2 linked regions of the Alligator mississippiensis genome follow. The protein of the gene in region 2 binds, or shares a complex with, the protein of the main gene of each other region. Links are inferred from orthologs where the notes say so. Each region holds a gene or a part of one and is shown on either strand. Other genes may lie near its edges.

Evidence for each region. Proteins that work in one complex are often made in the same cells at the same time.
Region 1: the proteins of CLOCK (region 2) and BMAL1 are in contact, whole or in part, in a crystal structure (PDB 4F3L), measured with the Mus musculus proteins. The link is inferred for Alligator mississippiensis from reciprocal best matches to the Homo sapiens genes CLOCK and BMAL1. Residues at the interface, in NP_001276755.1 of Mus musculus: Arg46, Gln49, Phe50, Leu53, Ile54, Glu56, Leu57, Met60, Leu61, Pro62, Lys70, Ser71, Leu74, Gln75, Ser77, Ile78, Phe80, Leu81, Arg82, His84, Lys85, Thr88, Glu95, Ile96, Gln98, Asp99, Trp100, Pro102, Phe104, Leu105; in XP_030097882.1 of Mus musculus: Lys70, Met71, Phe74, Ile75, Glu77, Leu78, Ser80, Leu81, Val82, Asp93, Leu95, Leu98, Arg99, Ala101, Val102, His104, Met105, Lys106, Leu108, Arg109, Gly110, Ala118, Tyr120, Lys121, Pro122, Phe124, Leu125, Asp127, Asp128, Glu129.

What each region holds. Positions count from the first base shown.
Region 1 is NC_081825.1:201,878,051-201,885,314, reverse strand, and holds the start of BMAL1 (basic helix-loop-helix ARNT-like protein 1), read right to left. Parts: upstream 3,003-7,264; 5' UTR 2,984-3,002; exon of another isoform or gene 2,946-2,983; intron 2,940-2,945; exon of another isoform or gene 2,840-2,939; intron 1-2,839. UniProt on the Homo sapiens protein: Transcriptional activator which forms a core component of the circadian clock.
Region 2 is NC_081825.1:60,495,578-60,502,716, reverse strand, and holds the start of CLOCK (circadian locomoter output cycles protein kaput), read left to right. Parts: upstream 1-4,139; 5' UTR 4,140-4,286; intron 4,287-7,139. UniProt on the Homo sapiens protein: Transcriptional activator which forms a core component of the circadian clock.

The sequences.
Region 1 (7,264 bases), about 140 Mb from region 2:
AGTGACAGTATATGCTTCCGAGAGTGGAGCAGACCCAAGGACAGATTTTTAAGAGGGGTTTAGATACAGAGGCATTTTTCTAAAGCACTTAACTATGCTCAGAAAATCTGGCCTAAGTTAAAAGGGGTAACCCTGCCACAGTAGCTCAGAACATGACCTACACTATTAAATAATTATGAATTCAGTCTGAGCTGTTGCATTTCAGTCTATATCCTTTCATGTGTTAATAATTTTAACAAAAATAATTATTATGCAAGCTCAAAGTGAAAGACATTTTAAATTGACTTGTAAAATGTCCATAGCTATTTAGGCCTTAAAGAAAGAAGCAGCTACCCAAACTGGAGGAGAAAGAATTGAATATTAGTAAGAAGTTATGGCTTAAGTCAGTATATTCACTCAGATTCCTAGAGAAGGCTGGGTTGAATGCAATCTAGGGACACTTCCTTAGTGACTTTAAAACTTTTAAGTACATGTAAATATGGCTGCCTGCTTTTGCCTACTCTCCTTACTGTAAGGAAATACAAATGCACCCAAATAAATAAATGTTCAAGACTGACAAGTAAGCAGGTAAACCAGAGACAACAAAAAGTTAAACCTAACATAAGCTTAACATGCCACATGTGCAGTGCTCCAGTTCTCCTGACAAAGACATGACTTTATGCAGTAACATTTAAAAGTATGACATATGGGAAATAGCAACGGAGTGTCAACCCTGCAATCAAGGTCTTTACTTCACTCGTGCTTACTTTCCAGCTTCAATGTTATGCTAATCATTTTAAATTAACTAATTAAAATTAATTAATTTGCAAAAACTCTGCATGTAGACAATATTTCAGGTTATTGAATGTATCTCATTAGTGGTCATAACACATGCAGCAAGGTTTTGCAAACAAAAAAAAGCATAAGCCTATTTAAAAACCTCATGTTTCAAAACTCACTTAAGAAGTACAAGTTGTACTATCATCACAGAGCTCGTCTCTTATTAGAATTAAGGTGTGGTGGTTAACATACTTTTAATCCTAGTCAAACTGAACCCATGATGTCCAGCATTCCTGTCTCCTACCCCAAGGAACATCAGCTTTTCCTTCAGTCTGGGACCCCGACTGCTTTTGACCAGGTAACCCTTAACAGAAGAACATCCAGGGGCAGATGCATGAGGCAAAAATCTCTGTTAAAGTACATCTGTGGATAGCTTCTTGATTCAGCCTTTAAGGAGTCATGGGGCTTCTTCCAAACTTGGCAGATTCCCAAATGTCAATGAGAAGTTAATACCACTTGCAAGCAGGTACTGCACTTCCACAGTAATGCTGACCCTAGGATCTGCAGCTGCACAAGACCCCAAGGCAAAAGACACAGTCCACAGGTTTTCCAGGGGGCAACGTACGTCATTCCAGCCTCTCCACTCCCTTTTTGTTTATCCAGTCTCTGTATGCAGCTCCTTTCCAGACCCTGAACATACTGAGCATTCCCAGCAGGGTCTGAAGCATGTACTAGTGGTGTAGAAGCACACCATAACAACCTAGAGCAGCAACACTTGGAGACTGCATTACAGACAGACATAAAATCATTAGTGGTTATGAGAAATACTCAATTAATTGTTTAGGAACAAGAAAGAGCACAGACCTATTTTAAACAAGTAGGGAGATTCTGGACATTCACTGACAAATGCAGCTTTGGATGCTTATAAGGGTTATTTTGATTTGCCTCAATTCATACAACTGCATTCCCACACAACCTAATTTAAAAAACTTACTCCAGAGGTGGATCACTTCATTTAAAGACACCAATTTAAAAAACACACAAACAAGCGGTGTTAATGCTTAACATTACAGAAAAAAAGGTTGGGTTTTCAATGCCTTTTGTGAGCTGCCAGTACCACCAGTTTGCACATGCCAGGCATAAAGAGGAAGCCAGATTTCAAAGAGACAAAAAACAAAAACAAAAAAACCCCAAAACACTTGCAATTTGACTCCTGGGCAGGAAAAGTACTTTCCAATCCACCAAAGGACATGCAGTTCTGAGCTGAAAGCATCCCACCATGACCCAGTCTATAATGTCTAGAGGGGAACAGAGCTTTGAAAAGAAAATTGACAGCGCAGTTTGCAGCACGAGTTCGAACGGACAAGACGCAATCTCCAGGGGCCAGAGAGGCAGATCCTGACCAGCCAACATCCAGCCTGTACTTAACCACCGCTACACTTCTTAAAAAGAGAGAGAAAAAAAGAAACACAACAAGAAAACCAACGCCAGCAAAGCTGGGCAGGCCACACAGCTCCTCTCACGGAGGGGGGGGGGGGGGCGGCAGGTTGTGTGTCAGTCCTGCCTGGGGCCCAAGCACTGTCCCATCTCAAACCTGTTCACACAACACCCAAAAAGCATTACAGGTCACAGACCAATTGCTGAAGAATAATAAAGTAAAATGATCAAATAAAGTAAACTAAAAGAATATAAAATAAATCAAGCAAGAGGAGGCGAGCAGAGGGGTGGGCTGAGCAGGCCCTGCCAAACGAGCGAGGCGCGGATGCAGAGCCCATCGCCGACTTGCTTGGAGAGCCGCAGCGCCCCCCGTCGAACCGGGGTGGGGGGGGGGGCAGCCCAGAGGGAGGGGGACTATGCCCGCGCCCATCCGCGGGCCCGGGGCTCGGACGGGGGGAGGGGGCGAAGGGGGGGAACGCTGCACCTGCGCGCACGGGGTCCGCCCCTCCCCCCGCGTAGACACTAGCGCGCCTGGAGCGCGGCCAGCCGTGGGGCCGGTCAACGGCCGCAGGCGCCCTCGAGGAACCCCTGCTCCCTCCGCCTCCCGCTCCGCGCGCGACCCCCTTCCGAGCCCCCGCCTCACCGTGGCCGAGCGGGCGGGGGTGGTCGCCCCGCGTGGCCCCCGCCTCCTCCGCTACCCGCCGAATGCAGTGAGCAACACCCAGCGCAGCCCCCCGTCCCTGACCTACTTTCCGCCTGGCTTGCCACCGAACGTCGCACCACTAACCTACTTTCCAGCCAATGGCTGCTCCCCCCCGCCCGAGCCCGAACGCGCCTCTCGGCCAATGCGCAAGCCGCTTGCCCCAGCTCCGCGCCCAATCGCGGCCGGGCCTCGGCGCTCCCCCGCCGGCCAATCCGGACCCCCCTTTGCGGAACGACAGCCAATCATAAACGGTTCTTGGGGTTGAACTCCCGCCTCGCGGAGCCGGGAGGGCGGAGCAGCTGTCTGGGTTTACGCACGCGACGCTGAGGAGCGAGGGGACCCGGATGGATCCCTCCGCCCCGCCTGGGGGCGCCATGGTGGGAGCCCCCCTTCCGCGCGTCTTAAGTCCAACGCACTGTTGCCATGACCACTGGTAACTCCGTCATTGCCTCCCTGCGCGATGTAATGTCATCCTCCCTGCTACGTCACCGTCGCGTGCCGCGGGGTAGTTCGAATACGTCACGCTGCCACTCCCTGCTCTTGCGAGGCAGTGCCACAGGACGTCATAATCTTGCCCGGGGGTGTTACATCATCCTTTCACGTCATAACAGCTCCGTGACCTCTCCCTGTTCTGCACCGTGGAGTCACTAATGGTCCATCATGGCCTTGCACTGTGATGGGGGAGCTCGTACCCGCAGACCAGTGCAGTGTGGTCGTGGCAGGCTGATGCCTTGTGACAGAGCAGCATCACTGCCTCCTGGTGTCACACCTGGTTGCCACTGGGAAGCTCCATCGTTCCACCATATAGTCATGAAAAGTTGTTGCATCCTGATTGGGGTCGCCAGCTCTGTTTGAATCCATCCCAGCAGTTTTCCAGAATGCCAACGTGCCTGCGACACACAACGCAAATGTGCCTGTCTGCTTGCATATATCAATTACAGATTACAGTGTGGAGACTTTATATCAGGGGGCAAATTCACATTACTATTACATTTTAAAAACCTACTGGACTGCTGTATAAATCTGATTCAACATTTAATATGTATTTTAACAAATGCCCTATTATTTATCTCCGGGTGGCTCTCAGCAGTCTTCTGGAGATTTATATTTAATTCTTGGAGACTCCAGGGCAATCCAGGAGGGTTGGCAACCCTAATCCTGATGCAGTGTTGTCATTTATACAGCATCTAAAGCGCAAAGCCACTCGCTGCTCCAGTTCATAGTCTGAATTTAAACATGCTCCAAGTCATTTAAAACAATAGCATCATCGCCACAACTGTGGCTCATTAAGGGGACCCACTGCAAGGCAGACAGTTGCAATAGTGTTGCATTTCCATGCTGTGTCACATCCAGTTTGCACTGTAGTGCCGTTATACCAAATAATCAACGGTACATCATTTCAACACCTTATCGTGCATATCCTGTCACACCACATCCTATCACTATATCAAAAGTTTGTCTGACATTAATTTGCATCACATCACATCACATCACTAAATTTGAATTGCAACATTACCTCAGCGTCATTATTGTTATTTCCACTTGACAAAGAACATATTTTTCATGGCAACATCAACGCCTGCTTTCTATGATTTTGGTTTGAAGAGTTTGCAACCTTGCCTACAAGTGGCTTATAAGAGGATTCAGAATTCCCCTGGTTAAAATCAGGATGATCTTATACAAGTGGTAACCCTGCAACAGGATAAGTAGTAAAAAAAGATATACCAACATACAAGTAAGCCCTGTAGATAGGGACATGGGGAGAGCCACTGTTGTGGGAGCTGAGGGAATAGTTCTCCATCAGCGGGACAGGAAGACAAGGGCCTCAGTAGGAGGATGCAGGTGCCTATATACTAATGCCAGAAGCATGGGGAACAAGCAGGAGGAGCTAGCCCTCCTACTCTCCAGAGTGCATTATGATCTAGTAGGGATTACGGAGACCTGGTGGGACTCCTCACGACTGGAGTGTAGCTATAGATAGAGGATTACACCCTGCGTAGAAGGGACCGGGCAGGGAAGAAAGGTGGAGTTGTTGCTCTCTGCGTGAAAGAGCAATACACCTCCTTGAATGCCGACATCGGCTCTAAAAATGGACAGCTTGAAACCCTCTGGGTCAAGTTGCGGGGGGGAGGTCGTAGCATGGCGTGGCAAGAGAAGCCTATCTGTAGGTCTTTACTACAGACCACCAAACTGGGGGGAGGAACTCTATCTGGAGTTCATCTGAGAATTGACTGAGGCTGCACATGCACGTGACATGGTCATCATGGACGATTTTAATTATCCAGACATCTCCTGGGAGGAACACTCAGCCAAGTTGGATTGGTCGCGTTCCTTCCTGACCTGTGTTCAGGAGCTCATCCTTACTCAGGAGGTGCATGGGCCAACCAGAGGTGATGCTCTTCTAGACTTGGTCCTGGCCAGAGGAGACGACCTGGTGACCGACTTAAATGTAGTGGGAAGTCTGGGCGATAGCGATCATGAAACCATCATGTTCACTGTCCGACGTAAGGCAGACAAATCGGACAGCAGGATTGAAGTCTTGGACTTCAAAAATGCAAATTTCAACAAGCATAGGTCACTAGTAGGGCAAGTGCTGCGGGATCAGGGACTGAAGACAAACGGTGTGCATGGAGAGTGGTTGTTCCTTAAGGACACGATCCTTGAAACCCAAAGGAAGTCCATTCCCATGCGGAGAACAGGAAACAGAAGGGCTGGGAAGCTGTCTTGGCTAAACAGGGAAATCACAGTCGTCTTAAGAAAGAAGAAAGAGGCTTATAAACAATGGAAGCTCAGGGCAGGCCCCAAGGAGGACTATTCCATGACAGCCCGCATTTACAGGAAACAGATAAGACGGGCTAAAGCGGCGAGCGAACTTAGATCAGCAACAGGAACCAAGGATAACAAGAAGTCCTTCTTTAGATACATAGGGAACAGGAGGAAAACGAATGGGAGTGTGGGGCCGTTGCTCAACAACTCAGGAGAGCTGGGTACCAGCACCCAGGAGAAAGCTGAACTCCTGAATGACTACTTTGCCTTGGTCTTTCATCAGACCAAGAGGAAAACCACACCAGGTAGAGTAGAGGATGAGCAAGATATGAATAATCACCTTCCTACTATTGCCGTAGAATTGGTGTATGACCAATTAATAACATTAGATGTATTCAAGTCAGCAGGACCAGGTCATCTTTATCTGAGAGTGCTGAAGGAGCTGGCTGAAGTCATTGTGGAAACCCTGGCAAAACACTTCCACAAATTGTGGCACTCTGGAGAAGTCCCTGAGGACTGGAAGAGGGCCAAAGTTGTGCCCATTAACAAGAAGGGCAGGAGGAAGGACCCACGTAACTGTAGGCCAATCAGCCTAACTTCCATCCTAGGGAAAGTCCTAGAAAAGTTCATCAGGAGTCTATCTGTGATAAGCTTGCAGAAGGTAAGATTCTAAAAGACAGCCAGCATGACTTCATCACAGGCAGGTCTTGCCTTACCAACTTCATCTCCTTCTATGACCAGGTAAATCATCACCTGGACAGGAGAGAACAGGTTGACATTCATTACCTAGACTTCCAAAATGCACTTGATCTAGTATCCCATGATGTCCTCATGAGAAAATCAGAGGATTGTGGGATTAACTCCAAGACAGTCAGGTGAGTGAGAAACTGCCAGGATAGGACCCAGAGAGTCGTAGTGAATGGATCTGTGTCATCCTGGTGAGAAGAGGGCAACGGTGTCCCACAGGAGTTAGTGCTCGGTCCAGTACTTTTCAACATCTTTATTAATGAGTTGGATGTGGGGGTGAAGAGCTCACTGGCCAAGTTCATGGACGACACCAAGTTATGGGGAAGCATGGTCACACTTGAAGATAGGCTTCAGTTACAGGTGGACCTAGACAGGCTAGCAAGTTGAGCGGATTGGAACCCAATGAAGTTCAGCATTGAGAAATGCAAAGTGCTCCACCTTGGGACGAGCAACCCCAACACACCTACAGGCTTGGCAGCACCAAACTGTCTAGCACCAAAAATGAAAGGGACCTAGGGGTAATAATAGACCACAGTATGAATATGAGTTGGCAGTGCGATGCTGTAGCCAGTAGGGCAAATAATACTCTGGCATGCATCAATCGATTCATCTCCTGCTAAGCCATGGGAGTGACTCTTCTGTTCTGCTCACCACTGGTGACACCGTAGCTGGAGTATTGCATCCAGTTCTGGGCACCACACTTTAACAAGGGCATGGACAAGCTTGAGAGAGTCCAAAGAAGAGCCACCCGTATAGTCAGAGTCTTAAAAGGCAAGCCATAAGAGGAAAGGCTGAGGGATCTGGGACTCTTCAGCCTGAGGAAAAGAAGACTGAGAGGGGACCTGGTAGCAG
Region 2 (7,139 bases):
AACATTTCCTTCAAGCTCAAGCAGGATTCTACCAAGCTTTGCCTTTCAAGTGCAACTATCAATAAACCATTCAATGTATCATGTAACATTTGGATATATTGTGGAATTGCAGCCAGTTTTTAAAACTCAGTTCATGCACTCTCCATGTCATGGTATGGATACCTGGCTGACATAAGGAAGCATGTTAATAGAAAGTCCAAAGCATTCATCCTCATTCATAGTAGAAAAGACTTCCAGGTACATCTATTCAGACCAATGGAAAGATTAATAGGATAGGCACATGAGTACCAATTGTTACCTTCCACAATTCAGTTTCCAGATGTTCAAAATCATCCTCTAAATTAACTCAGGGTTATCAGTGAACTCAGAGAGGGTTCATCTAGTAGTTATATCAGCAAATTCTGTCCCCCAGTCAACAAACATTCTGTATTTTCTTATCCAACAGTGGCTAGATTTCTAAAGGGTCTTATGAAAGTCTACTCCCAGTTCTTCTTTATTTTATACGGAGACCAAGCCTGCAGACATGCATTAAGCATTGTCTGAGCACTTATAGCACACTGGGCTCACCAGGTGAACTAGATAGGGGAAAATACCTTATTAAGAATCCCAGTTGGTCTCGGGTATGTGCCGAGTTGCTCAACCCTGATGTGCGAAGCAGTTCTGACATAGCATATAGGAATATTTACTAGTAAAATCTTAGTTATGGAATTAAGTAGTTTGCCCCTGCCTCCTTTTAGAGATTAGGCCCTTAATGCTTTACATTTTTAAAGAACTAAAAAAAATATTCTTTTGGTTGGGCAATAGCTATTGGTGAAAATACAAAAACATATTATTGTGCAACTGTACTGTCTTCTGTTTTGATCTTGTCAGATCTCAAAAAAAAAGGTGAAAGGTGTTCAAGGAATGCTTGGGCACTGAAAGAAATTTCATTGTGATTCATTAAGCGTAGCTCTTCTCTTTAGGTCATACCTCAATGATACATGTGCACAGTATGCTACTACTACTAAAGATGTCATTTGTAATACTGATTACTCTTGGTTATTAGATCTTAAAGGAAATACGTGTATGGGTTGGTTTTAACCTTGGTTTCTTGGACAAAGTTCAGTTCAGATTAATTACATATTTATGTCTTAAATTCTTGCAGCATCTCCTAGATTTTCTATTTCCTGTTGTGTAGCATATCCTCTACCACAGAAGTTTACCTATCTTGTGTTATCCCCTACCTACTTTGCATTAGGAAGGTATTTAAGTAATTTTTATAAAATACTCTCTTCAGATGAAAGCCGTGGTGCAAAGTATTGTACATACTTCAGTAACATCAAGTAGGCTGCTTATATACCACCTATCCTGAGTAGCAAGCTTTAGGTTCAGCTAAAAGCACCAAATGAAAGAAATATCCTTATAAAAAAAATATTTGGATTCATCAACATACTCAAAACAAAACATTGCTCTCTAATGAAAATTGGTTCTCTACTACATTCTGTTCTATATAGGTTTTCATTGTGCTCATCACTAGAATTTGTGCAGCTTTCAGCAGTGCATTAAGTAGTTACTGAAATGTTAGAGCTGCTGGACATGTTATTCATCAGATTTATTCAATATTTCAATGTATTTATTCTGATAAATCATTCTTGCAAAGAAAAATTAACCAGATGATAAATATAGCACAAAATCGCTGAGCAATTTCAAAGATAGATTTGAGTAAGAGACCGACCTCTAAAAGTTTCAGAATTGTCCTAATACTCAGCAAAGTAAAAGGTACAATCTCTCAATCTGAGCATAGAAAATCCCCTACCTATATCTATCTACCAGTCATAGTGATATCCTTTTTGTACTAGAACAGTATATTTTTTGCAATGGATCTGTTTTCCATCACAAAAACCCCAAACCATCAAACAAGTTCTTCAAACTCATACTGGTTTATTAAACTGACAAAGTTTTTTTTGTATTTTTCTTATATTTGTAATTACAGCACAAAAAGCTCTAAGGCCTGGCTGATAAAGAAAAAAGGGTAGATTTGATTTAAAATATCAGTTTTAAATCAGCAAGCAAGAAATCTTGATTAAAATCATTTTCTATTTTGGTTTGTGCTTTAGTAGTTTTCTAGATTTGATTCTCACTGGTAAAACTTCATTCTTCCTTTGTCTAATTAGGAAGAGACACTGTGTCTATTAATATTAGCTCAACATCCTTTTAGTCAGTCTTACTTTTTACATTTTTAATGCTCAAAAATAGTGATTGATGCGTTTCTATTTACTAGTGATGACTGAATTCCCCCCAGCCCCACAACCACTTGTCATCAAGCTGTATCCAGATGCAGCCTGGAAGTCAACATAAAATACACAAAAACATAATTTTAGGGATATTTCTTATGCTTCTGGGCTTTGCTGGTTGCCCTTGCCTTGCCTCCCTCCCTGCCCCCCCACTTTTTGCTACATGTGTCAGGGCATTTTTAAGCCTTCCCAGATGTACCAGGTGCTGGCTACAGCCAAGGCTGGGGACCTTGACTCAGGTGTGCCAATGCTCCTGCTGGGAGCCAAGCCAGAGGTTCCTGGGTAGAGGGTCTTGCCCCTCCCCTCAGGGTCAGACCGATGGCCATATATGGGGTCAGGAAGGAATGCTTCCCCATGGTCAGATTGGTGCAAACTGGGGGGGGGCTTGCTTTTTGCTGTAGTAGGGGCCTGGCCCTTGAAGCAGAATCTTTTGAACATGCACTGAAAAGCATTTCATAGAACACTGGCTGCTGTGGTTTTCCTGCTTTAGCTGTGGCAGGTTAGGGGGTTAAGTCTGTGTTGTGTCAGGACTGACAGGATAGTTTTATGAACAGTTTAGATTATGATTTGTATAGAATGGTTTGGATAGAGATGATCCTGCCTCAGGCAGGGCTGGACTAGGTGACCTCTGGAGGGTCCTTCCAACCCTGCTGCTCTATGATCGAAATTGGTTTTCCTGGGGTTTTTTTCCTACTCTTGCTTCATTATTTTTTCAACTTTGAATGAGCTAAGCACCAAAACATTGGCAGAATAAAAACGTTCTCTCTACAGCTACTGCCGCAGAAGACTAGTTTCGTGCTTCCACAGACCACATTTCCAGGCGTTTAAGCAATGACTTCCACAGATTCACAGACAGCATGAGATCATCGGGTCCAGCCCCCCTGCTCTGGGCAGGAAAGACTGCTGGGGTCAAATAACCCCAGCAAGGTGTGCATCTTTTGAAGCTCTCCAGGGTAGGTGCTTGTACCACCTCTGCTGGGAGTCTGTTCCAGAGGCTGGTTACACAAACCATGAAGAAGTTCTTCCTTATATCCAGACCTGTCCAATTTTTTTTCTTTTTAAATACCAGCAGCAAAGCCCATTTACATTTAAAATGTGACACATTTAAACCTATGGTAGTTGGGAGGCTGAGGAACCATTCCCTCCTGCCGTGAATGCTTTCATGGGTAAAAATGGATCTAGATCCTAATCAAGTTCCAATCCTGCCACGGACTCTGGTGAAGCGGGGCAGCCGACTGCTGCCTTTCCCGGCCCGTGCTCCCTGGGCTGCCATAGCTCCGCCGGGCTCCCTCCTGGTAGCCCGAGCCAACCAAGTCCGCACGACGCCCCGGAGCCACTTCAGCGCGGGGGGGAGGGGACCGAGGGTTGCGGCCGCCCCGTGCAGAGCGAGGGGGCGCCCGGGGGCTGCTGCCGGCCGCTCCCGAGGAAGGAGCCGCGGCCGAGTCCTCCCGCCTGCCGGGAACAGGAGAGTCCCCGGGCGGGCTGGGGCGCGGGAGTCTCCGCAGCCGCCCAGAGAGTGCCCCGCCAGCGTCCCGGCCCAGCCTGGGGCAACGCGGAGCCCCAGCGCGGCTCCGCCGCCAAGTGCGCCAGAGCCGCCCGGCCCCAGGCGGGGAGCGACTGACGCCATTTTCTCCTTTCGAAGCCTCTTGCGCCTCCACCGGGGTAATCTGAGGTCAGGGCAGCGCGGCGCTCCACTGCGCCTGCGCGCGGGGCTCGCCGAGAGAGAAGCCCTGGCTGCGCCTGCGCAGCCGCGCCCCCCGGGACAGGGAATCACCGGGCCGGCTGCAGCTGTGCGCTGCGGCCGGCTGCGCCTGCGCACTGGCGGCGGTCGGGGCGCGCGGGCCCGGCCGCGGTCGCTTGCAGTGCGCGCGGGCGCACGCGCGGTGGCGTGAGGCTCCTGTGGCCGCGGCCGCTGTTTGCCGGCAGTTCGGGTGGCGCATGCGCTCTGCGGGCGGCTGAGGGACTGGCAGGCCTGGCTGCTGCTGCTGCTGCGAGAGGAGGCTCCGGCTGCCGGTGGGTCGGCGCGGCGCGGCGCGGCGCGGCGCGGCGCGGGGAGCCGCTGCACTGCGGGGGGCGGGTGCGCGGCGGGGCCGCCCCGCGTGGCGGCTCCCCTGGTCCCGGCCCGCGTTGAGGAGCCATTAAAGTTTGACAGCCCGGCGGCGGGAACACGGGCGGCGGCGGCGGGCGGGGAGCACCGCGCCTGCCCCCGGGGCCGGGGTGCTTCCCTGGATGACCCGTTAGGCCCCGCGACCCCCCGGCTCGTGTCCCTGTTGCCCGGCCGCCCTTCGCGTCGTCCCGCTGTTTGTGGCCGAGCGCGGCCGCTATCCTGGGCCGGGGCCGCTCGAACCGAGGCCCGGGGTCGGGGCTGCAGCGGCGGAGGTGAAGCGCGTTCTCTTGCCGGCGGGCGCAGCTGCGTCCTGCGGGGCGGGGCCGCTCGGGGCCACCTGTGCTGCTTCCCGCTCCCGCTGCCCCGGGCACAGGGCTTGGGGGTCGGGTCCTGCCGGCGGTCCGCCCGGGCGAGGACTCCGTGCGACTCGTGTGTGACGGGCCCCTGGGGAACGGGCTGTGGTGGGGTGGCAGGACCCGGACCCTTTGCGTGCGACGGGACGGGCCAGTTGGCAAAACGCGTCGCGTGCGCCGCGCTTCACTTCAAAGCACTTTTCCTGTATTTTTGTATTTGTTGGAGGATTTTTTGCCTCATCCTTTTATAGCGTCCAAGCAGAGAGACTGCTTCAGGACGTTGAAAGGTGACTCTAGAGCATGTTTGTTAGGTTCTTTTAACTTTTCAGACGCTTACTGAGAGAGACTGAGATGCGCTTGTGTGCATGGTGATGCAGTGTTTCCTGGGGAGGGGGAATTGCTTTGCCTTGTTCTAGATTGGCATGAACAACAGCACATACTTCTAATAGCCGGGATGAATCTTCCTGCAGCCCGGCCTCATTCACTGCTCCTTTCTGCTGCCTTACCCATGTGTGCCAAGAAGAATAAGTCCCTGTGTTAAGTTCTTCCATTATGCATAGTCTGTTTATATTTTCCTCGTTGTAAATTATATTCTTAGGACTGCTTAATCTCCCTCTGGTGGCTGATTGAAGATTTACAGCTCTAAAATGTAAATAAAGACTATGGGAGGCTGGTTATCATTTCAAACTTTGCTCTAGGCTTATGTTCCGCCTCTGGCACTGCTTCCTTAAGGTCTGTGGGATTCTGTGCAGAGATCCACTTCGTGTAGGAAACAGTGCTCATCTTATGAACATTTTTGAGAATTTGAATTTTCTTCCTGCTCTAAAATAAGACAAAAAAATCCCCTTCAATTTTTTGCAAAAAGAGAGGGGAAAAAAAGGCCAGCTTCAGTTCAGGGACATTCAGTCAAAATGGGACATTTTAGAAAAAGTGCTTTGAAATTGTCAGAATTTTGTAAGTGGAGACAGATCTCTTCATGTGGACAGTTTTGGCCTTGATGAATTGACATTGTCAGATGAGAAATGTTTTCTCTGAAAATTTCTAGTTGTAGGGTACTTTGCATTGTATAACCTTACCTTTTGAATTCTTTTTCTCTAGGTAACGAGTGATGTGTAAGCCCATATCCTTCATCTGTATATTCATAATGCACAGATTTTTTTTCAAAAGGGTTTTAAGAAGCAATTAGAATAATGAATACACTTCAGCGAGGTCTGCCTTGAGAAATCTAAGTATTCTTAATATGCAAATATGTTGCCACTGGAGTGTTGACCATGGGGCTCTTCTATTTCCTGTATAGCTTTGAGAGAAGCATGATTGTGTTATGCCAGTTGTCATAGGTGCTCTTGTATCTGACTGATCAAGAGCAAATCTTCATAGGTTGCTGTCAGGATAGTATTCTGCTTTGGCTTGAAAATGAATGCTTTAATATGGCATTTGAAAGAGAATGCCTGCAATAGTGAGGGGCAGAAGCAAAATTAGATCATTGTTTTAGTAACATTAGGCTTGGACATTAGAAGAGTTGGAGTGAAGAAGAATATGTGGTTAGTGCTCCAGCTTAGTTTAACATATTGAATTTAATTCCCAAATGGGACCCTCAGATTCAGGAAAAGTGAATAGTTACATCATCAAATTCTCCCTAATACAGAACTGCATCTGTATTTCAGTGACATACAGCGTTCTTATGTTTTAGTTTGAATTTTAAAATATTTTGGAGCACAAAGGTATGAAGTGATTTTAGTGATGTCAGATAAAGAGTTTTGCTTGTGAGGCTTTATATTTCCCTCGTTCAGTGATGATTCATATTTCCGTTGGCTAGGCAAAGTTTATTTGTTTTTTTGTTATGTTATCACCATAGTAAATGAGAGTAATTTGGTGATAAATGCAGTTACACGCTTTAGGTTTCAGATCACTTTGATATCTATAGTTTCATTGCTTGTTTGTATTCATTTAGATATGAAATACAAATATTATTGATTCGTTTTTTTCTGTTGTTTAAATTTAGCAGCTTCAATATACATGCTAGTAGGCAGGATATGGTAACTTTGTGACAAATTACTCAACAAGTATGTTCTAATAAACATTCAAAAACACCAACTTGATCTGATTACATTTGCTTGTGATTGTAGAGTAATACTTAAACAGGTTATTATTTTCCTTGGCATTTGGAATATACTTTTATTTTTAAATAACTGTTGCCTGTTTCTCATAACTTAATTTTTTCTGTAATAGAGATTAAAAAGACTTTATTGGAAATGTAACCCCTTTTTGTATTAGAGCTGTGTATCTTCCTGAAACCTCAGATATTTGGAAGACTTTAGGCTTTAAAAATTGCCATAGTGTAGGTGGGGTGGGAAGCACCACAAAATTACTAAAGTTGCCCAGCATTTCCTGCTATAAGTCTCTGTT